Mus musculus: one gene and its partners. The protein of the gene in region 2 interacts with the protein of the main gene of each other region in a biochemical or structural test. Links are inferred from orthologs where the notes say so. Each region holds a gene or a part of one and is shown on either strand. Other genes may lie near its edges. The genes, in order: Bag3, Plcg1, Eef1a1, Pdgfra, Lat, Gab1 and Fgfr2.

The links.
Region 1: the proteins of Plcg1 (region 2) and Bag3 form a complex in vitro, tested with the Homo sapiens proteins (2 studies listed by BioGRID). The link is inferred for Mus musculus from reciprocal best matches to the Homo sapiens genes PLCG1 and BAG3.
Region 3: the proteins of Plcg1 (region 2) and Eef1a1 form a complex in vitro, tested with the Homo sapiens proteins (2 studies listed by BioGRID, with this or other methods). The link is inferred for Mus musculus from reciprocal best matches to the Homo sapiens genes PLCG1 and EEF1A1.
Region 4: the proteins of Plcg1 (region 2) and Pdgfra form a complex in vitro, tested with the Homo sapiens proteins (2 studies listed by BioGRID, with this or other methods). The link is inferred for Mus musculus from reciprocal best matches to the Homo sapiens genes PLCG1 and PDGFRA.
Region 5: the proteins of Plcg1 (region 2) and Lat form a complex in vitro, tested with the Homo sapiens proteins (2 studies listed by BioGRID and IntAct, with this or other methods). The link is inferred for Mus musculus from reciprocal best matches to the Homo sapiens genes PLCG1 and LAT.
Region 6: the proteins of Plcg1 (region 2) and Gab1 form a complex in vitro, tested with the Homo sapiens proteins (2 studies listed by BioGRID and IntAct, with this or other methods). The link is inferred for Mus musculus from reciprocal best matches to the Homo sapiens genes PLCG1 and GAB1.
Region 7: the proteins of Plcg1 (region 2) and Fgfr2 form a complex in vitro, tested with the Homo sapiens proteins (2 studies listed by BioGRID and IntAct). The link is inferred for Mus musculus from reciprocal best matches to the Homo sapiens genes PLCG1 and FGFR2.

What each region holds. Positions count from the first base shown.
Region 1 is NC_000073.6:128,540,568-128,544,042, reverse strand, and holds part of Bag3 (BAG family molecular chaperone regulator 3), read right to left. Parts: intron 2,237-3,475; coding exon 1,835-2,236; intron 1-1,834. UniProt on the Homo sapiens protein: Co-chaperone and adapter protein that connects different classes of molecular chaperones including heat shock proteins 70 (HSP70s), e.g. HSPA1A/HSP70 or HSPA8/HSC70, and small heat shock proteins (sHSPs), e.g. HSPB8.
Region 2 is NC_000068.7:160,758,801-160,762,326, reverse strand, and holds part of Plcg1 (1-phosphatidylinositol 4,5-bisphosphate phosphodiesterase gamma-1), read right to left. Parts: intron 2,874-3,526; coding exon 2,777-2,873; intron 2,646-2,776; coding exon 2,421-2,645; intron 2,345-2,420; coding exon 2,196-2,344; intron 1,248-2,195; coding exon 1,133-1,247; intron 1,023-1,132; coding exon 861-1,022; intron 768-860; coding exon 679-767; intron 589-678; coding exon 404-588; intron 1-403. UniProt on the Homo sapiens protein: Mediates the production of the second messenger molecules diacylglycerol (DAG) and inositol 1,4,5-trisphosphate (IP3). Plays an important role in the regulation of intracellular signaling cascades.
Region 3 is NC_000075.6:78,478,918-78,483,061, forward strand, and holds the start of Eef1a1 (elongation factor 1-alpha 1), read right to left. Parts: upstream 2,808-4,144; 5' UTR 2,722-2,807; intron 1,772-2,721; 5' UTR 1,738-1,771; coding exon 1,594-1,737; intron 1,504-1,593; coding exon 1,324-1,503; intron 1,232-1,323; coding exon 935-1,231; intron 858-934; coding exon 707-857; intron 618-706; coding exon 361-617; intron 276-360; coding exon 41-275; intron 1-40. UniProt on the Homo sapiens protein: Translation elongation factor that catalyzes the GTP-dependent binding of aminoacyl-tRNA (aa-tRNA) to the A-site of ribosomes during the elongation phase of protein synthesis.
Region 4 is NC_000071.6:75,150,834-75,155,053, forward strand, and holds the start of Pdgfra (platelet-derived growth factor receptor alpha isoform 1 precursor), read left to right. Parts: upstream 1-1,417; 5' UTR 1,418-1,624; intron 1,625-2,102; exon of another isoform or gene 2,103-2,865; intron 2,866-4,220. UniProt on the Homo sapiens protein: Tyrosine-protein kinase that acts as a cell-surface receptor for PDGFA, PDGFB and PDGFC and plays an essential role in the regulation of embryonic development, cell proliferation, survival and chemotaxis.
Region 5 is NC_000073.6:126,366,549-126,370,555, forward strand, and holds the start of Lat (linker for activation of T-cells family member 1 precursor), read right to left. Parts: upstream 2,703-4,007; coding exon 2,600-2,702; intron 2,422-2,599; coding exon 2,394-2,421; intron 2,289-2,393; coding exon 2,254-2,288; intron 2,035-2,253; coding exon 1,947-2,034; intron 1,816-1,946; coding exon 1,751-1,815; intron 1,668-1,750; coding exon 1,638-1,667; intron 1,559-1,637; coding exon 1,498-1,558; exon of another isoform or gene 1,423-1,497; coding exon 1,328-1,422; intron 1-1,327. Other genes in the region: Spns1 (protein spinster homolog 1), read right to left, coding at 3,771-3,865. UniProt on the Homo sapiens protein: Required for TCR (T-cell antigen receptor)- and pre-TCR-mediated signaling, both in mature T-cells and during their development.
Region 6 is NC_000074.6:80,877,658-80,881,791, forward strand, and holds the start of Gab1 (GRB2-associated-binding protein 1), read right to left. Parts: upstream 2,823-4,134; 5' UTR 1,947-2,822; coding exon 1,875-1,946; intron 1-1,874. UniProt on the Homo sapiens protein: Adapter protein that plays a role in intracellular signaling cascades triggered by activated receptor-type kinases. Plays a role in FGFR1 signaling. Probably involved in signaling by the epidermal growth factor receptor (EGFR) and the insulin receptor (INSR).
Region 7 is NC_000073.6:130,193,806-130,197,331, forward strand, and holds part of Fgfr2 (fibroblast growth factor receptor 2), read right to left. Parts: intron 2,570-3,526; coding exon 2,367-2,569; intron 1-2,366. UniProt on the Homo sapiens protein: Tyrosine-protein kinase that acts as a cell-surface receptor for fibroblast growth factors and plays an essential role in the regulation of cell proliferation, differentiation, migration and apoptosis, and in the regulation of embryonic development.

The DNA of each region.
Region 1 (3,475 bases), on a different chromosome or scaffold from region 2:
CTAAAGTCAGTGTTTCCACTCCTGGATCAGGTCCCAACATGGGAAAGTGCTGGGTAGGAAATTTGAAAGTGGATGGCAAACTGGATAATATGCTATTGGAAGAGCATTAAATTTCCGGAATCTGGCCATCCTACTATGGTTGTATTTCTTAGGGAAAATATTTGCTGAAGTGTCCAGAAGTAAAAGGCCATGATATTTGCAAGTAAGTCTCCTGCAGTTCAAGTAAGCAGATGGTAGAGGAAGAAGTGACAGAAAATGACAGCAGCGAGCATTGCCGGGGGTGGCAGGGGGCACTGGGGATGCAGCTCAATTGCCAGTGTTTGCACAGTGTGTAAAAGGCCTCGGGTTTGATACTAGCACCACGTGAACCCAACCCAGCGGTGCACCTTGTAACCCGAGCACGAGGGAAACAAAAGCAGGGCGATCCGAAGTTCAAAGTCACCCCCAGACATACAGCAAGTCTGGAGCCAGCCTGGGCTGTATGAGAGACTGGCTCCACAAAGCCAAGCACAACAGAGGACTCTGAAAAGCACACAGGTCTTCTGTGTATGAGTCTTACAGGTCTTCAGAGAGGTTGAAATTGTTTCCAAATAAAAAAAGCTAAAGACAGCACAGGGGAGGTGACTCAGCAGGTCAAACACCTGCTGCACACGTGTGAGGGCCAGAGTTTGCATTCCCCAGGGCACCCAGGAGACAGCTGGATGGGTGTGGTGGTCCACCTGAAATCCCAGCACTCAAGAAGCAGAGATAAGATAACCAACCGGTGAAGCAAGCTGGCCAGTTAGACTAGTTGCACTGGCAAGCGCTGGGTTCAAGTGAGAGACCCGGCGTCAATGGAAAAGGTAGCCACTGATCAAGGAAGACTCACATCAACCATGGGCTTTCACAAGGATGTGCATGTACACGCCCAAAACATGTACCACATACATGCATGCACAACACGTGCAGATACAAACAAAAAGGAGGGTTTCCTGTCCCAGGAGGAGATATTATCACTGTTTGTAAGAGAAAGACATTCCACATTTGGATTTTTGGAAATCTCTCGCAGGGAGATTTCATTTTCAAAACTATGACAAAGAGCAATTCGACTGTTCAGTGTTACAGCTGGGAGCCCAGTGACACTGAGTGTCCTGCCCTCTGAGCTGCAGGCTGTTGGTTTCCCTAACATCTCTCCCTAGCTTCACTGCAGGATAAGCAGGGCTGTGCCCATGTTATCCAACACACCAGGATGGCTTTTCACTACTGTCCACTAATGTGCCAGCCGGGAACCACAGTACCCTACTGCAAAAGGGGTGGGGGAATGTCTCAGACAAGGTCCCTTGCTGTCAGGCTCAGAGCTTAAGAGATAAGAGGGCCATCTGGTCTGCACAAAACAATCACAAACTGAATCCTAAGGAACTCGGTGCAAGGCGTGGAGGGAGTTGCCTTGAAGGGAGAAACTAGGGCCTGAGCAAATGCCCAGAGGGATCAAGAGAATGCCTGGTAGAAGAGAAATAGAGAAAGAGAAACAATGTACACTGTGGTTGGAGTGAGAGCGGGGGGAGGGAAAGACCAGGAAAGGTACGATGCACATTAAGGAACTTGGTCATAGAGGTGAGAGTGACTGACAACCTTACCACAGGCTCCCCCCTTTGCCCCTAGAGCAGCTGCAATGGAAAAAGCCGTGGAGACTACTGACGGTTCAACAGCCCCTGACCAGAAACTTCTAGAATTCTGCTTGTCTCCAGCTGTGCTATGCTGATGAGACTGAGCTTTGAGGAATCCCAGGGCATCTGCAGAACCTCTCAGCCTGCCTTAGCCATCTGCACTTCTGTCAACCAATGACTCTCCATACCTGAGGCCTGTCAACCACTGTGTGCACACGGATGGGAGATGGGCAGTGAACCGGTGTGCCGCTTCTGGCGGGCGAGCCTTCCCGGCTGGAAGCACCTCTGACGGGTGACCTGAATGGAGAAGCGGCTCGAAGCGGCCGGGGCTCCCAGTCATCGCCCTGGATCTTGTGGTATACAGGCTGCTGGGGCTGGTATTCACCCTGCTGAGCTGGGTAGTGGGTCTTCTGGGCTTGGTGGAAGGAGGGCTGGGCTGCTGGCCGGGTGATATTCTGCTCATGTATCACGGGGATGGGGATGTAGCCCCTGGGGAGCTGATGGCTACCCAGACTGCTCCTGCCGGAGGAGGGCAGGCTGGCCGAGGAGGAAGAGGATGAGCAGTCAGAGGCAGCTGGAGACTGAGATCGCTGCAAGAGACAAAGGGCACGAGTGAATGATCCTGCTGCCCTGGCACTCCAAATAGCCACCAGACACCACCTGGCCAGGACAACACATCCCACAAAGCTCTCCTGCTATAAACATTTTCAAAGTGTGAGGATACGGGCTGTGTGTCCTTCTGTGCTCAGTGTGTCCCTGGTTTCAATCTCCAGCACCACTCCACTTAACAAATATAGTATATTAAGACCTCGAGGACTGGGGACACAGTTCCTCGGGAGAGCACCTGTCCAGCCCACACAAGGCTCCCAGAGCTCTAAAATAAAAGAGCCAGGGTTCAAACACTCGGAAGCGCGACCGTTCTCTGCACCTTGCCTGAAATATGGGAAAAGGACAGCCTGCCTACCCACCTCACGGTTACTTTGAGGATTAACTGGCTGCATCTGTGCCTGTGCGTTGGCAGGCAGCAGCATGCACAGGAAGGGTGTGGGCCGCTGTGTTTGTTGTTACTGAATGTCTCCTTATTTCCGCTTAACCTCTTATTGGAGAATGCAGTGAAGCATCTGGGAGCTGCCTGTGTCTGGGTGCAGGCCAGGTCCCTTTCTGTTCTAATCTATCTTCTAGTCATCTAGAAGGTTGAGGGAGCTTGCTCTCCAGGTGGTTAGCTACTAAAGGCCTTGTTGGCTTAAATTTTCTAATATCTCTGATGTTGTTTTGACTTGTACCGGAGGAACATTACAGACGTAGGAAACACATCTCCGAGAAAGGACAGAAATCTCCAGTACCCCACATTACGTATGGTTTTTCACCCCTGATGGTGAAGGTGAACACAAGCAGAGGCTAAAAACAATCAGGACTATGACGCATGCAGGAAATGAGGGCTCGTCCTCAGTAACAAAGCCAACGGACCCAGGGGACGCGCTGCAGAGAGGAGGACGGAAAAGGAAGGCATAACTGCTTAGCAACCCTACCCCATCTGTCGGCCACAACCTCAACTCAGAACCGAATGAGCAATATACCCTTTCACTAGCGACAGACCTCGAAATGGTGAACCTCAGGGCTAAAGTTGTCGCCTTTCTGACCTAACGCTGGATTTCCTTTAGTGGCACGCCCTGAAGACCGAGCTGCCATCCTGAATTTATCTCCAGCTTAGGTCCAAAATGGTTGATGTCCACCCGAAAGGACTGAACAGAGTAACTCTGAGCTCTCTGTGAAGCAGGGAGCCCAGTGTGAATAGGAACACTGATGAAGGAAGCGAGGCAGTTGCTCTG
Region 2 (3,526 bases):
GAGCTGGGCAGGGAGGCCCAAAACAATACATATCATTAATGGCTTGGTTTTGTCTAGCCTTCACTGCTGGAATCCAGGCTCCAGGCTGTGAGACCAAGAAGGCTTTACAGTAGACAGCTCCCAGAGAACCCAGTTCATGGCATTCCACAGGTGGACAGCACCTGCTGCTCTCCAACTAGGTGGGGTCTGACTAGAGGCGGTTGTCTCCATTGACCCGAGTCCTTCTTGGGGCCCTGAACAGAAGTGAAGTGTCCTTACTGGCCTTGCAGCCAGACAGGACAACCCAAGACACACGGTTATCCCTTTTCCACAGAGGAGAAAGCTGCCAAAGGATTGATCTTTCTGGCTCCAGCACCCTTCCTCCAAGGTCCCACACTGGCTAACTTCCCCTCATCTCCCTCACCTTCGTTCCCGACTGTCAAAATGGTCTGCTAGATGCTCCTGCGAGATGCGGAAATCTTCAAATGGCTGCTGGTATCTGGCTTCAAAGGACCCTTCCCGGGCCCGGACATGGAACAGCTGGCTGGAGGCATCTGAGGCCCGTTCCCTTAGGGATATGCCACTGAAAGGACTGAGGTCACCGTTCTCCTGCTCAGCAAGGGAAGTGCACAAAAGTTGAGGTCTCTTCTGCATCTCAGGGGCTATGACTGAACTCTCTGCTCACGCTGCTGTAGTTACCTTAGCAGGGAAAATGTCAATCTTGATGAGCAGGGAGGCCAACTCCAGGTCTTCACTGTAGTTGTTCTTCAAAGGCACTGCTCTATATCCTAAGAGAAATACCTGGCTCTCAGCCTATCAAGTGTCAAGCAAGTGGATAAGCCCCATCCTGACAGCAAGACTTTATAAGGAAGATTCCTCACCTGTCTTCAGGCCTTTTACTGGGAAAGTAGCCTGAGCCAAGAAGTTCTGGTCACTAAACATGTCTTCCTCATACACCACAAAGCGCAGAAAGGCAAACTCTGGGTTACTGATCTGGAAGTGGAAGGGCTTAGCAGGCCACACAGGGTTCAGTCCGTTGTCCACTGTGAAAGCAAGGGCAAAAGCTGAGGCCACATCTACGGGATGTGATGACTGGTGGAGAGGTCTTTAACACCCCAGGGGAATGATGGGTAATGAGGGAAGACTGACTTACCTACAAACTCCGTCTTTTGCTTGGTGCTGTCGTACTCAGCCCCAGCCACCTCAATCTCCACAAAAGGACACACAATACCCCGGCCATTCTTCGGCAGATGCCTGGCCCCCAGCACCTGTGAGGCAGGCAGGCAGAGATGGGGTGATGACATCCCCCCAGCACCCCGAACATCCTCCCAGCAGAAGCTTGGGGAGCAAATCGTGGAGGAAAATGCACCATGGAGGCAGTATGCCCCCTGCTGGGCCCTGAAGGTGCTGCCCATTAGGCCGCTCATTGTTCACTCCAGAGCAAGCTGTTGGCTGTAAAACCCTGAGCTTTAGCTAAGTATCATGCGTACTTGGCAGTCCATTTCATGTTAAATCCATGTCTGTTCCAATGTGGGAATCTTTTAAATTATTCCACTTTAGAGGGAATATCTGGAAAGTAGCAGTCATGTCCATCTGTGGCTCTGTGCTCCTAAGTGTGCTCAGCTGGCCATAGACTATTCTTACTCTTTCCAGACTGTTCAGGCCACCCCTGCTGATTCCCATAGCGAAGGCTGAGCTGACCCTTGATCACAGCATTTCACCAGACATGGACTGGGGAGCTCTATTCTAGGAACTGGGAAAGGCAAACAGGCTGCTGGTCATGCTCTAGCAAGCTCAGGTTTTGCTTGGTCCTGCAGACAGGAGCCTGGCTCAGCACAGGCCCCTTTTAGCCTGATTTGTGTCATTCTGACCAGGTTTTTCCTTCCAGGTAGTGACTTTTCACAGGTTAGCTTTAACCCGACATCCTAACTCATTTGTGCCAAAAACTGGCCATGATCAGCCATGCTACCCCTGGGATCCCAACCTCACAGAGAACCTGTAGCTGGATTTCCACTTCAGGTGGTCCTACTTCAAGCTCAGGAATAGACCAAGATAAGTTCTCTTCCCCAATGTAAAGCAGAAATGCTGCTCACCTCTGGCCCTGTACCCTTTCCCACTTGTGCTGACCCACCTGGTCGCCACCTTCTTAGCAGGTTTAGTATCAATGGTCTTCATAACCCTTTCCCACCCTGAAGAACCCAGACAAATATACTCACCTCAATGCAAATGACACAGGGTTCCAGACCTCGGAGACTGCTCTTATCAAAGGGGTCAAAGGCTTCGTCTCTCATGGTGCTTGGCTGCAGCACATAGCCACAATGCCCACCAGCCATGAAGAGGGCCTGGTTCATCTGCATAGGCTTGTCTGCAAGAGTGGGATTACAGTGTGCTCCAGTGGAACTGCCCTAAGTGTCTCTCCCCACCCACAGAGACCCCCTCACCTGGGGTCTGGAAATTGAGTGCTACAAGCTGGCTACCGCAGATCCACATGGGCAGAGGGTCATAATTGGAGGAGTCTAGCCTCTGGCCCTTAGGGTAGATGCGCGAGAGCTGCAGCCGGTTGTACTGGAGGAACTTCTTGCCTTTGGCCTTGTTCACATACTTCTCAGCCTTGGTTTCCGGAAAGGAGGACATGTCCCGGTAACAAGCACGTTCTGTGCCAATCTCTGAGCCAAACAGTGAGAGCGTGTATAGAGCGGCCCCCTTGTGTAGTGTATGTAAGGGACAGGGTATTAAACGCCACTCTCAAGCCACCAGCCCCTCAGCACATGCACACCACACCTGGCCCCAGCCTTACTCTCTTCATCAAAGGGAACGGGCCGGCAGTAGACCACAAGCTCGGAGAGCTCCAAGGCGATCTTCTTCCTCCTCTCCATCATCTTTCCCTCAGTGAGCTGGTGACACACACAAGGCCCAGGCTGAGCCCTGCCCAGGAGAAGGAAGCTCCTACCAGCCTTGGGTACACACACACTTCAGGTGTTCTGAGGCCCTCTTCTCTCCTTGCACATTTTAAATAGCAGCAGACACTAAACAAAACTACTGGCTCCCAGTTTTGGCCAAAAATTATCTCTTTCTTCGTCTCCACAGATACACTTGTTCCCCAACCCTCTTGGGGTGGAAGTCTCACCATAACTTAAGTGCCAAATGACCTCACATGGAGCTAAGGTCGGCAAGGCCCTCCCAATAATGCTTTCTGATTATTCTTTACCTAGCCTCGTCCTTCAGCAAAAACACTGCTTCCCGGTTCCCTGAAGCACTAAGGCCTTAAGCCCACCTGGCAATGTGTGTGCCTTAGACGACCTTACCATCTCACGTCCCCATGGCCAATGCAGCCTTCCTCCTCCCGTTCCCGATCTTAGCTGCAGCCTACTCAGGCACTCCCCACACTGTTCTTTGTAGTCTTCTCCTTCAGGGGCTCCACTATTTATAATCTTTCTTTTCATTCCAGGCTAAATCCAGGCAGGGTCTAGCCTGCCAGCCACTGGATCTTTCAGTACCTTGCCCTCCGGGGCACACTAACAAAATCCTCAGCATTGTGTCTGTCCCC
Region 3 (4,144 bases), on a different chromosome or scaffold from region 2:
AAACTTGATGTTCAGTGTAGCAGACTCAGATCAGGCTTACCAAGTGGAGGGTAGTCAGAGAAGCTCTCAACACACATGGGCTTGCCAGGGACCATATCAACAATGGCAGCATCGCCAGACTTCAGGAACTTGGGGCCATCTTCCAGCTTCTTACCAGAACGACGATCGATCTTTTCTTTAAGCTCAGCAAACTTGCATGCTATGTGGGCTGTGTGACAATCCAGAACAGGAGCGTAGCCAGCACTGATTTGGCCTGGATGGTTCAGGATAATCACCTAAGAAAAACAGCGTGTATTTAAGTCTTGCCTTGTGATTCTGCACACACAACCAATCTAGCCACCTATCTTAAAAATGTGTCACCTGAGCAGTGAAGCCAGCTGCTTCCATTGGTGGGTCGTTTTTGCTGTCACCAGCAACATTGCCTCGTCTAACATCTTTGACCGACACGTTCTTTACATTGAAGCCCACATTGTCCCCAGGAAGAGCTTCACTCAAAGCTTCATGGTGCATTTCAACAGACTTGACTTCAGTTGTTACATTGACTGGAGCAAAGGTAACCACCATGCCAGGCTTGAGAACACCAGTCTCCACTCGGCCCACAGGGACAGTGCCAATGCCTAAAATAGTATTGTTTTGTATAAGTATTTAATACACAAAACATAAGACTTCAAATTCACGTCAACATTCTACTTAATATTCTACTTACCTCCAATTTTATAGACATCCTGGAGGGGCAGTCGCAGGGGCTTGTCAGTTGGACGAGTTGGTGGTAGGATACAATCCAAAGCTTCCAGCAGCGTGGTGCCACTGGCACTGCCATCTTTGCGGGTGACTTTCCATCCCTTGAACCAAGGCATCTAAAACACAGGCAGTCAATTATAACCTCCTTACTTATTGCGGCTTTCTCCATTCAACTACCTTAAAAGTCACTTACATTAGCACTTGGCTCCAGCATGTTGTCACCATTCCAACCAGAAATTGGCACAAATGCTACTGTGTCAGGGTTGTAGCCAATTTTCTTAATGTAGGTGCTGACTTCCTTAACGATTTCCTCGTATCTCTTCTGACTGTATGGTGGCTCGGTGGAATCCATTTTGTTGACACCAACAATCAGCTGTTTCACACCCAGGGTGTAAGCCAGAAGAGCATGCTCGCGGGTCTGCCCGTTCTTGGAGATACCAGCTTCAAATTCACCAACACCAGCAGCAACAATCAGGACAGCACAGTCAGCCTGTAAGAAACAAGACAATCATATACCATTATCTCAGAGAAAGCACCCCACTAAAAAATATCCTGAGTCAGGAATGGGTAAATTTTACACACCTGGGATGTGCCTGTAATCATGTTTTTGATGAAGTCTCTGTGTCCTGGGGCATCAATGATGGTCACATAGTATTTGCTGGTCTCGAATTTCCACAGGGAGATGTCAATAGTGATACCACGCTCACGCTCAGCTTTCAGTTTGTCTAAGACCCAGGCGTACTTGAAGGAGCCCTTTCCCATCTGCAAAGTGACTTCTAATTAGTACACCCAAGACCTAGGTTCTACTCCCTGCTTAAAGAATTCCCATCCCTCCTTTTGCCTTATACTTGCCTCAGCAGCCTCCTTCTCAAACTTTTCGATGGTTCGCTTGTCGATTCCACCACATTTGTAGATCAGGTGGCCGGTTGTGGTGGACTTGCCGGAATCTACGTGTCCGATTACGACGATGTTGATGTGAGTCTTTTCCTTTCCCATTTTTGCTTTGAATTAGCGGTGGTTTTCACAACACCTAAAAAAGGGTTTAAAAGATACCTTTGAACCGCTAAGAAGCCCGAGAATTAGCTCCGCTCAAAACTCAAGGGGACAAATTCCAAAAATGACTTCCAGCGCCAGGCTGGCCTGACTAGTCTCCACCCACCAAATGTGAACAAACTCCAACGCCATTACATCCCCTCCCCCCGCCGCGACTAGCCGTGCTCAAAAGCCCGAGGTGACTATTGCGGCCGATAGGACCACGGGGTCACAGGAAGCAGCAGCCGGTGAGGGACCAGGCCCTCTTCCTTTGTGTGGGTGACTCACCCGCCCGCTCCACCGGGCTGCCGCGTCCTCCATTTTGAGCTCCTTGCAACAGGGCCCGGGAGCGGCCATCTTTCCACGCACGCAACTGGTGCCGGACGGGATGGCCTCACCCTAGTTAGGGAGGCAGGGCAACGCGGCGCCGCCAAGCCAGATCGTGCCGGGTGCTGGGGCCACATGGCCTCGGCACGCTAACCCCAGCCTGGTTGCTTCGGGAAAAACCCCAGGCCTCGCCCCATCCAGGTGGCGTCGGACATGTGCTCCGAAGGCGGGCGGGCCCCAGCCGCCACTCCTGTCCCTCCATTCCTCCCCAACCATGACCTCTCCGGGCTCCGGGCGAGCAAGCCCCGCACCCTCCCTTTGTTAGCCCCTATTGCTGAACGGCAATCGAAGGCAGCAGGGCAACAACAACAACAAAAAAAAAAAGACCAGAGTGCGGCCGGAGTAGCACGCGGCGGCGGCGCGGACACCACGCTAGGCCTCAAGCCGGACACGAGGCGAGGCTACGGGGTTGCCGCTAGGCCTCGCACTCTGCCTCCCGCGCCGCCCGCAACTCGAAGCGGGAATGCTCGCAGCTAATCCCCGCCGACGACAGCGGGGCCCGGCCCGCTCGGAGCAGGACCTCCAGCTCGGCGGCCCGCGGAAGCCACACCCGCCCCTCACCTGCGTTCTGACGGCAAACCCGTTGCGAAAAAGAACGTCCAAGGCGACTGCCGCACTTATATACCGTTCTCCCCCACCCTCGGGAAGAGGGCGGAGCCAGCACACGACACCGCTTTCCCAGTTTGCCCCGCGCCAGCTCCCCGGTCCTCCCCCCCATCACCCCCCCCCCCCCCGCTCAGTGCGCCCCTCCCCCCACGACCAGGGTCTATGAGCTTGTGTGCTCTGCTCTCCCCGCGCTCAGCCCTGAGCGCATGCTCCTCGCACTGTGGTGGGGCGGGTACCGGGATTATGGGTTATGAGAATTTAGCGACGGTCCCTGGGACTTCCCCAGGCGAAGGCGATCCCTCCTTTTGTATGAATTACTCTTGGCCCTAGCGGAGGGTGGGGCGGCGAGAAGCTGGCCAAGAGGGCGGCCAGAATCTATCCCTACTCTTCCTTACTCCGCTGCCAAGGCTGTGTCAAGATCCGGGTGTCCCTTCCCACGGAGGCCACCTCCCGACGTCAGCCCCGCTATCCTTCTGTTCGCCTCCCGCAGCCCATGCTCTCCTGGCTGGGAGAGGAACACAATGTTGGGGACCCTTCCCGGCTCTAGAACCCAAGGGCTTAGCTCAGTAGCGGAGAGCTCGACCGATCTGCCCCTGGGCTGGCCCCTTGGTTTATTCCATCCAATGCCGGTTGATTCTCTGGAAACCTGAAGCGGCCTTCACACCCCTAAGGGTTCAGTTCAGAATATGCTTCAATCCTACAGTTAGCTTTACTTTGATTCTAGGTTTGTTACACTAAAAAGATTGTATGTGTACATGTGTATGTACAGCCATTTGATTGAACATGAGAAACCTGAAAATAATCTAATCCACCCCACATGGTCTCATCTAAATACCAGCATCAGCAATCTCCCAGCGCCCATCCCTAACACTTGTGAAATCACTGCTTCTCAAAAATGGCTTGCCTTGTTAGTTACATCCCTTTCTTTGCTGCAATTCTAGCGATCATACCAGCATTGTTTTGTTATTGAGACAAGGTCTCTCTTTTTTAGCCCTGGCTGCCCTGGAATAGGTAGTAGACCAGGCTGACTTCAAATTCACAGGAATCCGACCTGGACCTGCTGGGATTAAAGCCCTGGCCATTTTTAAATGCCTCTCAGAGCAGGCACACAGAAGTGTTTCTCAGAGGAAAGAAGAACTTCTTTGTTTTGTTTTTTAATGCTAGAGATGGAAAAAGAATTATTTTGTAATGGGATATGGGGTGCTGGAGATGGAACCCTAGGGTGTCTATCACCAAGTTACAGTTCCTAGCTCAAAGATATCCTATCTGATTATCCATCATTGGATCTCCTCTCCCAGGTGTACAACATCACTTCCCAGTTACAAACATTTGATGTTCTTGCACCAACCTTACTAGGAGCATTTGAGGGCCTCTGTCT
Region 4 (4,220 bases), on a different chromosome or scaffold from region 2:
GAGCAGGGCAGTCACCCGAGCTGAAGATACACCAGAGGCGGGCGTGCAGAAGGGCGGAGGAGAATTGGGGCTCTCAGCCCAGCTCCAGGCATCCTCTTCCCGAGCCTGATATCCCCACGGTCGGTCCTGTCCCATTTAGGGACAGCACTCGGCATTTCGGGGAAACCTCTGTGATTTACGCCAGAGCCTCAGGTCCACTATAGTGGTGAAATAACCGATGGTTATTCGACGTTTTGTTATCAACCTGGTCACCTTGTCCATTTTAATTTTGATGTGTGAGATGGAGGTGGTGGTGGTGGTGGTGGTGGTGGTGGTGGTGGTGGTGGTGGTGGTGGAGATAGAGGACTTCTCACACCCCCCCCCCCACACACACACACCAAAAGCATTCAAAAATAGAGCGCAAGTCGAAGGCCCTCCCTTCCCCCACCCGCTCCGGGAAGTCCCGCTTCGCCCAGGTTTGGTTCCTGGAGTGTCAGCGCCCCCTTTCCCTCGCCAGCAGGATCGCCGTGTCCCAACTGTCTCTCGCTGGGTGTCTTGGGTTCCCTGGTTTGTGGCTCAAACGTCCTGAAAGCTTTCCTAGGGTACGTCGCGTGCGACCCACTCGGAAGGGTGGAATTTAGGAGGATAAAAATCCTTCTGCCATCAAGATGCAGAGGGCAGGCATTTGGTAGTCACGCCTAGCCTGAGCGTTTTCATATGAAGATAGAAGAAGCGAGGACCAGATAACCCCCGAAAACAAAGGCAGGACCAGATAAGTGGCTCCGAAGGGATAAAGGTCGTTCTTTCCTTCTTCCGGAGAACATCCCAAAGGTACGCCGAGCAACCGTTATTTGCACACCGCCTCACAATCCAGCCTTTCAAAAACCCATCATCTTCCTATTAGACTCCACAGTTTCCTAATCCCATTAAAGGATTAGCAACTACACGGCACTTTCCCTTAAGACCCCCAGTTCAAAACGACGCAGCCGCGTTAGAATTTCTCCCCAGGGCCATATTTCTAGCGAGGCCCAGACTGTCTATAGAAAGGATAATTTGAATTCTAGATTTATATTCGTTTTAGAAATGAGCAGCAATTTTACGTGTATTTTCTTTTCGAAGAGAATACAAAACAATAGCACCCCCACCCCCAAATTGGGAAGTCAACTCATTTTGGAAATGATGGCTGTTTGTAGTTTCCTGAAACCTCTTTCCCGGCAGAACGTCAACACCTCCCCCTTCGGCCCCCCACCCCACCCCATCTGGTTTGCTCCCCCCTCCTCGTTGTTGTTGAAGTCTGGGGGTTGGGACTGGCCCCCCTGATTGCATAAGAGCAAAAAGCAAAGAAGAGGTCTTGAGCCTGAGAGAGTCAGAGAGCAAGGAGTCCTAGGGAAACTTTTATTTTGAAGAGACCAAGGGGGGGGGGGACTTCATTTCCTGACAGCTATTTACTTTAAGCAAATGATTAGTTTTTGGAGGACGGACTATAACATTGAATCAATTACAAAATGCGGGTTTTGAGCCCATTACTGTTGGAGCTTGAGGGAGAGAAACAAACGGAGGAGCTGCGGGGAAGGACTGGAAGCTTGGGGCTTACTTTTCACTCCGGGTATCGGATTTTCTTTGCAAATTGACATAGAAGGAGAAGGTAAGGGAGAGGAAAAAGTGACTTTTGTTTCTCAAGAAGGTCCCTGATCATAACTTGGGGCTGCAAGAAGCTAAGTAACTTCAAATTTTGGGCAACGAGGAAAACAAAAACAAAACAGCTGAGTTCAGTGGTGTGTCCAGAAAGTAACTTATTCTGAATAAACTTCACTGGAATGGGGGGTGTGGGGGGGTAACCATTAGAGAGTCAAAGATAAAAAAAAAAAAAGAAAAAGAAAAAGAAAATGAAAAAAAATCCAGACCTATTTTTAAAAGCAATGTTTTTTTTTTTTTCCCTACACAATCCTATAGCCTTCCAAAGAAATTGTTAGGCTTACATTTTTGAGGTTTTCCTCCAGGGTGGGGGTGGCGTTCGTGCTTACTGGGACGAACACCAAGTAACATTGGGGGGGTGGAAGCCGCGGCGCTTGGCCTCTTGGCAGTGGGTCACGGAAGAGGACAGGTTTTTAATGAGTATTTTCATTCGTCGCCCGCGGTTTGGCGGGACTACGCTGTAGCGGGTGGTGCGGCGCGAAGCTTGGGGAGGGGGCGCACCAGGAGAAGTGTGTGTGTGGAGGGGAAAGGGGCGCCGAGTGGGGCGCGGGAAAGCGCTAAGAAAAAAGGGAGGTGTGAAGGGCTCGGCTGGAGGAGGTCGGACCTCGGATGCCGGCCGGGCACACTCGGCGCCAGTCGAGCCCTCGTAATTACTGGACGGCGCTGCTGTTGGAAACATCTGGGGCCAGACTTGAGCGCGGCGGTGGCGGCTGCAGCACCGTGAGAGGGGCGCGCGGGCGAGGGGCGCAGCTCCAAGGGTTCCGGAGAGATTGGAGCGAATTACTTGGGTGCTAGAAGCCTCGGGCGGAATCCGCAGTGCGCTGGGATCGTGCGCCTCTCACTCCAGCGACGGAGGCAGCGGCGGCAGCGGCGGCGCGGACGAGCGATCTGGAATAATGACAAACACATTTGGCCTCGAGTGAAGAAGTCGTCCTGGCCTCGCATTCCAGCAACTGGGATTTGAGGAATTTCAAACTGCACTCCGAGGGGCCCTCATTGTGCTCCGTAGTCCCCACCCCCACTCGGCTCACTTGCGTCTCCAGTGGAGTCTTTTCTGCACGGCCGGGGGTTGGGGGGGCCTGGCTCTTGCTTAGTCCTGGCCGCAGGCAGCAAAGAGGCAAGATCCCTGGCTAGGAGCTGACCTCTTGTGAAGAAGTCAGGACATCTCTGAAAGGACAGACGTGGGTGCAGGTAAGCAGAAATGTAAGAGGCCAACCACCCTCGCCTCCTGCCTACGGAACTCTGGGTGCTTCTCTGCCCTGGGATGATGGATGCGAGGCACTGGTCGCCTGAACGCAACCTTTCCAGTGCCCCCCCCCCCCAACTTTCCTCCCAACGCTCAGTATCCTGCAAAACTCAGGGGCGGTCTCCGCGCAGCCTTCCCTCCTTCACCGTTATTCCCTTGGAAATCAGTTTATACATGTGAGATTAACTTCCCTCGAGCAGGGCCGGGAAAGCAGGAAGCGATCTCTTGGCTTTGAAGCTTCTGAGGTCGGCGATTCTTTCTGTTTGGAAGGCGTGTGGGGCAGTCTGCAGAGTAAGGCAGTATGACTCGGCCCTGGTCTGCAGCAGGACCAAGCCAGAGCCTCGCAGCCAGGTGTGCAGGAGTTGCCAGTGACTTGGCGACCAGCCTTGGCGAGAAAGGAAGTGTTGGCCTGTTTGTCTGCTGTGGGGAGTCCTTGCAGAACCCGCGCTTAGAAACTCCCAGGTCTGCTAAGACCTCTAGAAGACCCGGAGGGTGTGCATGGGGGAACCCAAGCTGGGGAGGGGGCGTGGGTGGCACTTTTAAAAGTCTGGGCTGCCCAGCGTCGGACAGAGCTGCCCAGAAAAGCCCCAGGCTGGGCGGTGTGGGAAACGGCTTTTTGGCTTCGTGGCGGAATTGCTCAATGTTTTGGACTGAATTGCTTCTCCTGAATGGTTTCGGATCAGTCTTAGGCAGCCTTGAGGAGCCGGAGGAGGCCTCTAGTGTAAACCCACACTGTGGTCTGCAGCTGTACAGCCCCAGATTTAACACCCAAAGTCTCAGAAGAGGCTCGGGGCTCAGGGCGCTCCTCGGGCGCACCTCTTCTGCCGTCGCACTGGAGTTTACATAACCTCTCTTAGGCTCGGATTTTCCCCTGACCAAGGCTTTCCATCTCATCCTTCCTCTCGTCCTCTTTCTTTGCAAATTCCTCTTGATGAGGACTCCTTCGATTTCCCAACAGGAGTGTGTGTGTGTGTGTGTGTGTGTGTGTGTGTGTGTGTGACACACCAATTAATTTGTCGCCGTGGTCAGTTCCTGCTTAGGAACCCTTGCAAAAGTCCTGTTTTGGGTTGTCTCTAGTACAGCTGGGTTTCTAAAGCTCGCGGGAGAGAAAGAAAGAAAGAGAACACAGTCCAACTCCACTGTTTATTGCCCCGGATCCCTTCTTTTGCTGGAGTCTGCAGACCCGCAGGGTTCAGACTCAGAACCTGGCCTCCCACTTCTGGGCCCAGGGGCTTCTACTTTCTTCCTGGGCGCGGGCTGGGGAGAGATGCAGGGGGAGGGGCTTCAGGCTGCAAACGCG
Region 5 (4,007 bases), on a different chromosome or scaffold from region 2:
ATGGTAACCTACACGTTTAATTTGAGTTTGAGTCTACCTGGTCTAGATATCAAGTTCCAGGACAGCCAGGACTATACAATGACGCTCTATGCCAATAAAACTAAGACAAAACAAAAACCTATCTTCAGACTGTGTATATATTACATATATGGTTTGTATAAAACATGAATAAATTAATTACATGTTTTATCTTGAGTTTCATCCCCAAGAGAATTTATTATATGTTTATAAATATTCCCAAATCTGTATTGAAGTGTTTCAGGTAAGGGATACTCATGCTATACAGAGATAAGAGGATAGAAAACTGAAGATCACCAGAACTTGAGAAAAGCTCAAGGAAGGAGAAAGACCAAAGCAGAGAAAAGCAGCCCAAGAGAAACAACGACCATGTGGTACGCAGAATAAATCTTCAGTGAGTGTGTGTGAGAGAGACAGGCAGAGATACAGAGAGACGGGCAGAGATACAGAGAGACGGGCAGAGATACAGAGAGACGGGCAGAGATAGATACAGAGAGACGGGCAGAGATACAGAGAGACGGGCAGAGATACAGAGAGACGGGCAGAGATACAGAGAGACGGGCAGAGATACAGAGAGACGGGCAGAGATACAGAGAGACGGGCAGAACCAGAGAGGGATAGAGACACAGAGAGAAACAATCTGTAATCAAAATTTGTTTTGTTTTGTTTTTTCGAGACAGGGTTTCTCTGTGTAGTCCTGGCTGTCCTGGAACTCACTCTGTAGACCAGGCTGGCCTTGAACTCAGAAATCCGCCTGCCTCTGCCTCCCGAGTGCTGGAATTAAAGGCGTGCGCCACCACCACCCGGCTATGTAATCAAAGTTCTTATAGATACATTAGATGATATTGCTTCCAAGAAACAACAGTGTACTATACAAAAAGAACCGAGACGCCAAAAAAGGGGAGGGGGACTTTCAGATAAGAGAAATAAATTCTTTTGTTTTCTTTTTGTTGATCGTCGTGCTGTTTTGGTTTTCGAAGAGAGGGTATCACTATGTAGCCCAGGCTAGCCTCAAATTCAACCCTCCTGCCACTGCCTCCTGATGCTGGGATCGTAGGCCCTCACACCCAGCCGAGAAATGAAATTTCAATGGCAGGGTTCAAAAAGAGTCAGGAAATTTCTTAGACAACAGAGACGAAGGAGCAAAGGTGGAAGGAAAAACAAGACAGTCGGAAGTGATGAGGAGCAGGAAGCCCAACGTCTACAGGAGGAAATGGAAGGGCGGCAATCGTCACGGAGGTGAGAGGGAGGCAAGAGTGGAGAGCTGGCAGCACATGGCAGAGGGAGGTAGACAGAAAGCCTGACTCACCAGAGAAGGCACTGTCTCCAAGGTCAGGGTTGCTAGGCACAGGAGCAGAGGAGACAACAGGGACGGCAGCAGGACTACTGTCAGGCAGCACCACTCTGGAAGAAAGGAAGGAACGAGAAGTTGATAAAGGGCACACAACTTCCACGGTCACCTCCCCTCTACCCACTCACAGGTAGCCGTTGGGATAGTCGTCTTCATCCTCATCTGCATCCACATTCTTACAGGCTGGCTCTGTGAGAAAGGAGAGTTAACACGACCTGGACAGGTCCAGCCTCCCCACCCCACCCACTACCCCAGACCCCAGACCCACCCTGGTTCTCGTAGCTTGCCACACTGTTGGCTTCAAAGAGAGAGGGAGAAGAAGACTGGATCAGCTCAGGTTGTACATCCTCCCCAAAGCCCTCCTGTGCCCTACACCCTTACCATCATCTGAATTCTGCTGGGAAGATGGCATCCGATGGGAACCCCCAAGGGGCTGTGGGGATCTCCTGGAAGCCAAAGGTCAGAGATTACGTCTAGGTAGGACTCTGGGAGCAAGACAACCAGGAAAAAGCGCCTCCCCAACCTAGAAGGTGGAGAGGCACAGTAGACCCAAGGGACGGAGTTGGGGGATACTCACGGGATGGGGAGCAGGTCTGGCTGCCTCAGGGGTGGGAAGGAAGTGACTAGAGGGTAGGAAACAGCAGGTGTTCGGGGGACGGTTATTTCTGAGGACACAGAATGAAGCTTGAGGGATGGCTCCAGACACCCCCCATCAAGGCCTCGAAGGACAAATGGACCCCAAAATAACATGCCCTAGACAGACATGGGGGCTCCCACTTTCCCCATCCCAAGCCAGGGAACAGCCCTTCAGACAGCTAAAGGTGAACAAGGACAAACGCACACTCTTAAAAACCCTCGAGGAGGGCCAGAGACACTGAACTCACGAGGTGGCTTGATGAGGATGCTTCTTGGGTACAAACTGGCAGGAAAGAGACAGCTTGGGTACAGGGCCAAGAGGGCCCCAGCCCCAAACCCTTGAGTGGAACCAAGGGAAGACACACAGGGACACGGGCTTCCCACTCACCTCTCTGTGGAAGTGCTGTCATAGGAGACTGGAGGAAAGAAATCCAACAAGTCAGGATCGGGGTGCACCAGGGACAAAGAAACTCAGGCCCCCCACCATCAATCAGGGCCCAGGTAGGGACAGTGGAGAGTGCAGGGGCTGGGGAGGGTATGAGGATCCAATGGAGCGCCCACCCATCATCCAGTTCCGCAAAGCTTCCCACTTACCTGGCAACTCACGGCAGCGCACGCACAGGGCAGCCAGGAGCGTGACCAAGAAGGGCAGCAGCAGGAGGCCCAGCCCCACCGGGCTCAAGGCGTCTGCTTCCATCTGCAGAGCACCTGCCACAGGCCCTGCTGCACTGCAGCCCCTCGAGACAGAGTGGCAGCAGGGGTATGGGACCAAGCGGGCTCCAGCCTGGGATCCGCCCGGCAGTAGGCAGCCGTATCCTTTCGGGGCTGGATGGCTCCCCTCTCTTGCTGGACTGAGTTGAGAGCAGTGTTGGCTCTGGAAAGGTGCTCGCCCCAGAGCCAGAGCTGGGGCCCGTGCCCCAGCTACCAGCTGCACGATCCCCGTGCCCAGCTGTACCTGCCCCTTTCTTGCTCCCCGCCTGCCTCTCCTGCTCACCACCGCGTGCGACAGGAAGCTGTGGTGAGGGCAGGAAATCATCAGGCTGCTCAGCAGGCTGAGCCTGCCCCCTGCCCACTCACCCCCACCCAGTTGTGGGAAGGGGGAGGAGGCAGAGGGACTGTGTGGAGGAAGGGTCTAAGGCTGCAGGATGAGGCAGCCCGTCCACTAGGAAAGGAGACACGTGCCAACCAGGCCCGCGGTACCCTCCCCATGCCCGGGTGGGAGAACTGCAAGGAGGCTCTGCCAAGGCCTGTGTGGACCGAGGGCACTGAGGGCACCACAGGCCCCCAGCTCCCAGGCTTAACTACTGGGAGAGCGACTTCCAGGGGACCACGGTGAGTCACAGTCATACTGAACCAGCTCACTCAGAAAAGAGCAGCCCTCCTTCTAGATTACCAAGCTCAGAAGACAGGGACTTACCCACAGGGTGACCTGACAGCCCCTGCTAAGTCCTGGGACTATGGATATTCCCTGAGGCCAGTGGCACCCACAGAGAGACAAGCAGTCAGTCAGGAGTCTGATTACAAATTTTATTCCATTACAAATAGCACCAAACCCCTTGGGCTGTCCTAGTAGAGAGGACACCCCTTCCCCGTTTCTGGACTCCCATCTCTTCCCTGGGCTGCCCATGTAGTGTCTGGGAGCTGGGAGATATCCCAGGGCTTCCTTCTTGGACCTGGGCCTGGTGAGGGCTTCTGCCTGGGAACCGTCTTGGGTGGGCCCAAGGCCCAGCTGCGATGCATCAGTGGCCGGGTAAGCACCGGCTCCTCAGATGAGCACGCTGGACACGGGGACTCGGGTAGAACGGCCTCGCTGAGGTACTACAATCCGGTCATCTGAGGGCCCAGACTCATGCAACAGACCTGCGAGAAAGGGGTCAGAGCCAAGGCCAGTAAGATAAGAGCCAGCAAGGGGACACAGGCAGCAAGGGGACACAGGCAGAGGGGCCCAGATGAGGCAGCATGGAGAGCCCTCAGAACTGCACACAGACAGAGCCCAATCCAC
Region 6 (4,134 bases), on a different chromosome or scaffold from region 2:
CCCTGAATTCAATCACTCTTCCCTGATTCAGAAGCTAACAGGTTTGGCATGATTGGGACTTTTGTGGGAGAACATTGCTGTGGTCATATAATGATACATATAAGTAAACATAATCATATTATTATTAATATCTTTATAAATAATCAGCTGTATTTGGTTTTTGTGCTTGTGTTTTCTATTTTTGAGACACGGTCCTGGCTAGCCTGGAATCTGCTATGGAGACCAGTTTGTCCACGGAGCCTCCCATTTCTGCCTCTGGAGTGCTGGGTGGTATTGGGCATATAATACCACCATATCTGTCCCTTATTAGTTGTCATTTTCCTTCCCTGCAAGGCTTTTCTCCTTACCTTGTGGCTGGTGCCTAGTACAGAACTCAGTATGTCTGGCAGGCCATAAGTAATGAAAGAATGCACCGGACTGCATGATCAGCAAATATATTGTACTTTAGTTTCCTCAAGAATCCTAAAACCGTCTTTCCTAAATAGTGCCTTACCTCTATCTCCTCACCCCTCATCGCCTCACCACAATCGTCTCTTTAGAACTAATTCTGAAGATGTCACTGCCACTCTCAAATTTCTGGAATCAAGTTGCCATCTTTACCAAGAAATCCAAGCAAACTGTGACAGATGGAGAGACATCTTTGGGGAACCTCTGACAATTTGTCAAATCACATCTTTCAATGAAATTACTTGGCTGTATTAAATTATACCAGAAGGTGAGCCCGAAACTCGCTGGTGAGCTCCGTGAAAATAAATATTGCCTGGTTTCACACAAGCAAGCGAGTAGTCCGATGATTCTTGGTGTAGACGCCCCTCCACCAGAAACAGGTTTCATCAAAACAGGTAGTAAACTCTAATTAAGTGGGTACACGTTTTGCTTTTGGGAAACACATTTCACCCTAAAAATACTTGTTTCAAATGCCGGTACAAAGTGTCATTTCTTTACTGACAGGGTACATCGCAAAATTAGCCAATCTGAAGGAAGACTTAGGACCCTAGATTCCCGATGAGGATATAGTTCCACTCAAGTATTATAGGCTCCTTCAAGATACAGTTTTCCTAACCGTGAACACAGTCATCTCACAATCAGCATCTTGAATCAATTACGCAAATACCAGTTAAGCCGTTCTGGTGCCCGGGAAAAGAAACGCCAGCATCAAGAAATCCCTGTTGGCTTCAGCTGTCCCCTCCTGCGGGGCTTGACAGCGCTTCTAAGGCGCCCAAACACCAGCCACCAGGCTCCCCCCAGCGCCCTCCTGCCGAATCAAACCGCCAGGGTTCTCAGGCCAAAATCCAGTGTCCTCAAAGCAAAACCATGAAAATGCTAAGCAGACGGCAGGGTTCATAAGAACTTTTTTCCCCTTTCCCTTGAGCGAATATTTTGAGAAGTTTGCCTATATTATCCACTTCTTGCGTCCACAGTTCACTTCCCTCCACCTCCTGGAGGCGCAAAGGAGAGCGGGCGCGGACCCAATCGAGAACCCATGAGTACTTACTACCTCCGCGGTTTCTCGGGGAGGGGAGATTTAACAGCTCCATGAGAATCTGATACAGATAATAAAAGAAGGCTCTTTCTCCCTGTTTCACTCCACCCTTGCTAAATGGAAATAACAACAACCAAAGTATGCAGCCAGTTTTGAGCTGGAAAACTGGGCTTCTCTAACAGGCAACGAGGCCTACAAGGGAGGCAGTCTGCAATATGGAGGGAGAAAGTTTGGCCGCCGAGTGGACGTCAGGGTGGGAGTGGACCGCACCCGGTCCGGAGCCCGCCGGCCGAGAGACGGATCGAGGAAAAGGAGGGCGGGATTCGTGGAAGAGCCAACCGGGCGCGCAGGCTGCTGCAGCGGGGCAGACGGTGACCTGACCTGTACTTACATAACGCTTCAACTTCTTCTCCGGGGGCGACTTGCGGAGCCATCCCGAGCAAACCACTTCGCCGCCGCTCATGGTGCACGCCGTGAGGACTCGAGGACCAGACACCAAAGGGGTCGGTGGACACAGTGGACGCGCTCCGTGCACGGCGGGCACGGCAGTCAAACGCAGCCCAGAGGACGTCTCAGATTCCCCCGACGGGGCGGCCCGGCTCCCCGCGCCCTGTGTCGGCGATCGAACCTCTCCCGCAGATTCGCGGACTGAAGAGGAACTCGATCGGGAACCGCGGGGACCAGGGCTCGCCGACCTTCTTTCAGTGCGCCCTCCTGGCCGCCAGGCGCGCCGTCCCGCCGCCTAGGCAGCGGTCGGGCTCCGCTGGGACTCTGTCCGGACAGGGAGCCCAGAACTGGAAGCCCTGCGCTCCGCCCCTTGGAAACGGGACCTCCCGCGGGTGCTCCCCGCTGCGGACCCCACGCTGCACGCGCACACACAATGCCCGCGCGCGGTGTCCGCTCCGCTCCGCTCCGCCCGTTGGCGCATTCACACTGAGAGGGGCTCGATCTTCTCTTTCCCTCTGCTCGGAAAAGGGCGCCTGGGAAGGCGTGCGGCGTCCGGGTGGCAGCCGGCACAGGGGCAGGTCCTGATCAGCCTAGGGAGTTCGCGGACCAGCAGCGAGGGTCAGGGCGTCGCCGGGCGTCGGGGAGGTCGCGGGTCCGCGGTGGGAGGGTGGGTCTGCGCTCCAGCCTCGGATGAGGGCGGGGATCAGCACAGGGACGAGGCGCAGGGCGGCTCTGCTTCGGGGAGGGACCCCTCTGTCCTGTCCCCTGCGCTCCTCCCCCACCCCGGGGGCGCGCGGCGGGTTCGGGGAGGCGCGGCCTGGGCCCCGGCCCTCCTCCTCCTAGCCTTTCTGCCTCCCCTTCCCACGATCGGTCGCCTCTAGCTTCAGCCCAGACTTTCTCTGAAACTCCTCCGGAGCGCTTCCAGCCAAAACAACAAGGGCTGGGGAGGCGGGGCCGGCGCTGGGAGGGAGCGAGATGGCAGAGGCACCCTGGGATCTGTAGTCAGCAGGCGCGCTGGGGTCCTCGCCGCCCCGCCGCCCCGGGCCCGCGCGCTATGGAAGGCGGCGGTCTCCGGGAACGCAGCGCCACCCCAGTGTGAGAGCGGGAGTGCCGGGCACTCTCGCCAGCTCCGACTGAGTTTGCCATCTTGACAACCCCCAGGGTCAGGAGTTTGTACTCGGCTGTGCCTTCGCGATCCAGAGTTTTCGGAAGGATTTCCCTACTTGACAGTCTGAAAAAATAACCCAGCCAGGAGGAGAACTCACTCAAGCGGGTCCTGGCTGCTCGAGAGACTGAAGGACTGCGTCTCCCGGACCAGGAGCGCGCTAGGACCCTCACTGTGCACCCAGAGACCAAGGGGGTGGGGGACCTCCTGGGTGCCTAGGGCCTGACCCAGGAGCTGTTCTACCGAGTGATGCTACCGCTTAGCCTCCACAAAGCGTTCAGCTGCGTGTATCTCTAAGACAGGATAAAGTCTCACACTGCTTCCACTCATGGGCTGTTTCTTCCAGTTGGCGTTGTGTTTGTTTAAAACCTGCGCTAGGATGTTGGACAGGAAAAGAAATCATTCTGGGTACCCTAATTCTATTTGCCTTTTTGTGTGTTTTACAGTTATTATATCTGGGCTGAGTTTGACACAGTCTTGTAACAGACTCTTCTTTACGGGTGTGTTTGAAACAAAGCCTTGGAACAAATTTTAGAAGGCAATATAATCAGACAAAAATTTTAAAGAGTTGGGCATGGTGATGCATGTCTTTAATTCCAGCGCTTGGGAGGCCGAGGCAGGCAGATTTCTGTGAGTTTAAGGCCAGTTTTGTCCACAAAGTGAGTTCTAAGGCGACCAGGACTACATAAAGAGGCCCTGTCTCAAAAAGGGAGTTTGTGTGAAAATACAAATAGATAAACAAGCATTTCTGAGAAGCATGAGTTTGGGGCTCTCCTAATAAATGTGTGTTCTGAGTCTGAAACCTTGGGGGTCGTAAAGAGGAAAAGGTGCTGGGAGCCCTGCCTGGCAGAACCCCTGTAATCCCAGGCCTGCCAAGGTAGGTAGGGGAGGGGGAGGGAAAGAAAGACTAGAGAGAGACATGGAGGCAGGAGTGAAGAAATTAAAGAAAGAAAAGAAAAGTAGATGCTAAGTTAATAATAAGACAAAAGCCCTTGCATATAAGAAGAGACAGTGCCCTTTGTTTTTGCCATAAAGTGCT
Region 7 (3,526 bases), on a different chromosome or scaffold from region 2:
AATCGGTCATCAGATACGATGACCTGACTGAACCTGACCTGTTTGATTCCTGGGAATCACGTGGTAGAGAAAGGTGCTGGCTCCCATGTAAGTTGTCCCCTGGCCACCATTTCAAAAGGACCTTCACTAACCTTGCTATGCCATGTGCATGCCCCCACACAAACGCACACGTGCCCAAGCTACATAAATATATAAATGTAATATATAAATGTAAAAAGATGGAAATGGAAATGGAAAATGGAGAAATAGAAAGAGTTTTCTTTAAAAGTGATGCAGGCTGGAGAGATAGATGGCTCAGTGATTAGGAGCGCTTGCTGCTCTTGCAGAGGACCCGAGTTCTAGTCCCAGCACCACATCAGAGAGCTCACAACTACCGGCCCTCCAGCTCTGAGGGATCCAGTGCTCTCTTCCAGCTTTCCAAGAGCTCCAGCACACATGTATAAACACACACACACACACATCAGTTTTTTAAATGATGAAATAATTAAGGGTCAATGGCCTATCTACCTCAACTTATGGATTTTACTTCTTTTCTCTATTATAAAAACAAATGAGACAGGACATTGCTCCCTTTACTTAAACTCCCTAGACCAGAGTCCAGATGTTAAGAATGGCCCAGGGCTAAGAGATCAGGAGAGGCTGTGAAGGAGTAGCCAAAGGAGTGGCCAAAGGAGTGGCCATTCAGCCTGAAGCCTTAACACTATCTAGCCAGGTAAGAGTTTTATTAAGGACTCTTCCAGCAACTCATTCAGGCAACCAACTTTAACTTCAGCACCATCTAGCTTCTATGGTCCCACAAATGACAGTGGTGTCACTCAAAGTAGCACAGCATTCTCAGGATTAAAAGGAACCCAACTGAGCCTTTTTGACTCCACATTCAACAGCTGGCCAAAGGCTGCATCTGACATATGCTCCAAATTATATCTTAACCCTCTGCAAGAAACACCTGTTGGAAACGAGGCTTCAAGGACGTTGACAAGGACCTGCTCAGCCTGTAGTGTGAAGCTAGGTTGAGAACAGCCAAGGCCCTGTGTCCAAGCCACTACTGACCTGCTAGTTCCCACCTTGTCCACAGAAAGGGCCCAGGAAAGGCAGGGTTGGGTTGAACCCAGAGATTCTTAAGGTATTACACAGTATCACCCGAGAAAGTGTTTAAAATGCAGACTCTTACAGATCCATTCAAGAAGTACTAAATAAGAATTTCTAGGGTTGAAACTAATGAATATGCAGTTTTAACAAACACTAAGATGCACCTCCCCATAGCACAGGCCAGGTTGTTCATTTCCATTGCTAATTTAAAAAAAATAGTGACAATCTTATCAGAATCAAGTTCCGAATCTTATCATAAAGATTTACACCCACACATGCCTGGCTCTTGGAATCCAGGAGCAAGTACAGAAGTCAAGCATTTTTTCCTTATCCACCTTTGAAGGGCTTTGTTTTATGGCACAGGGAAGGTTCTATTGCCTTACCTCCCCCAAAGCCAGCCATCAAAGATCAAGCTCAAGGTTAAAGGTAATTTTCTCCCTGTTCTACATAGCAATCATCGTATCTGGGGGCTGGAGAACTGGCTCAGTGGTTAAAGAGTGCTTGCTGCACTTCTAGAAGACCAGAGTTCAATTCCTACCACCTATGCTGATAAACTCTAGCACTAGTGGACCTGACACTCTCTTTTGGTCTCCACAGGCACCTGCACACATGTACTTATAACCTAAATACAAACACACACACACACACACACACACACACACACACACACACACACACACACACACACACAATCATCCTATCACTGAATCCCTAGCCAAACCTGTAACAATAAACTATACGCATACAGCGTTTTAAAAACCAGACAAAATCAGCCAAAACCCAGTTTAGAAGACATCACAGACCACTTTTATGCAAGCATTAGTTCAGGTATACCTCCATCCTCTGTTTCTGATCTCTACTTAAAATAGTAAATCAAAGAAAATTAAACTCTCTTTCCTATGAAGGGTAAAACTTGAACCCGAACATCTGGCCTCATACAGAAGCAATGGAGCCAGACCAAATGCTTGTTCTCCCAAAGGAGCCGTGAGCTTGAGGGGCGCAGAGGGCATGGCCTCCTCTGCCCATCCCACTGGGCAGCTCCAGTCTTCACACTCTTGTCCTTTAAAACCAGAGCCAGCCTACCAAGCCCAGAGCAGCATTGTGACTTAATGCTCTTTAGTCCCAACCGCTGACTGAACCTCCACACAGTGGCAGATTAGAATTGCCTGCAGTTCTGGAGCTCACAGAAGTTAGGGGGAAAATCAGAGGGAAGAAGATCCAAGAGCTGGCTGGGTGGGGGAGGGGAGTAAATTTCTTCAAACTCTTTATCTACTTTCTGTTACCTGTCTCCGCAGGGGGATGCGCTTGGTCAGCTTGTGCACAGCTGGCTGGCTGCTGAAGTCTGGCTTCTTGGTCGTGGTCTTCATTCGGCAAAAGATGACTGTCACCACCATGCAGGCGATTAAGAAGACCCCTATGCAGTAAATAGCTATCTCCAGATAATCTGGGGAAGCCGTGATCTCCTTCTCTCTCACAGGCGCTGGGTTGCAGATCCGCGGGAGAGGGACAAATAAGCAGGCCACAGAGTTAGGATACCAGAGGGATGTATCGAAGCACACTTCAAGGAATGACGCCAAAGACATCAAGGGCTTCCCTATCTACAGGTCAATGCACAGAGATACCCAGATGCAGAGCAGCCATGGGCCTCCTGCCTGGGCCTCTCCAAATGCTAACAAAGAGCCAAGGGTTCCTCGGTTTATCACTACAGCCCAGGCAGCTGCCTTCTCCAGCCTCAATGGGCATCTGCCACCAGTGAGCAGCTGATACCAGACTGTAATGGGGGACTACAAGGCCTCATTCTGCTAAGCCCCTGGTCATAGCAGGACACCCAGGACACCCACCACAGGAGGACTGTCTGTCATGATGGCGGCTCGACATAAACCAAACAGAATTATTAAAAGGGACCTCATCCACTGTTGCTTCTAAGGAGACAGGGATGATGCTTGCTAGCTAGGGAGGTGCCTCCAGGGGAAGGTTCAACAGGACCCCAGAGGATGGTAGCTCCAAAGGGCTCACACTCAACTAGTAGGCTGGCCCAAAATGTTTTGGCAAGTCCCTTCATATGGTCCAGAATATTTATTCAGTTAAACAAACAGATGTATCAATCTTGAGATAGTCACATATATAATATATGATATATATGTATGTGTATGTGTAGATATGTATGTATGTATGTATATATATATATATATATATATATATATATATATATATATAATACTTAAGAACCAATAAAATGTTTGTATATCCAGTTATCCTGACTTGTTACTGAACCTTTAAATGTATGATGGTACTGCATGTGAGCAGAACTGTGATTAATTTAGCATATTCTTCTGTCAACTATATTGGTTCTTCCTCAACTGGTCAATCTACAAGCAGTGTATTTCCAAACATGATTATTCTCAAGCTGCATCTCCTTAAGGGGTAGTGCTGTCAG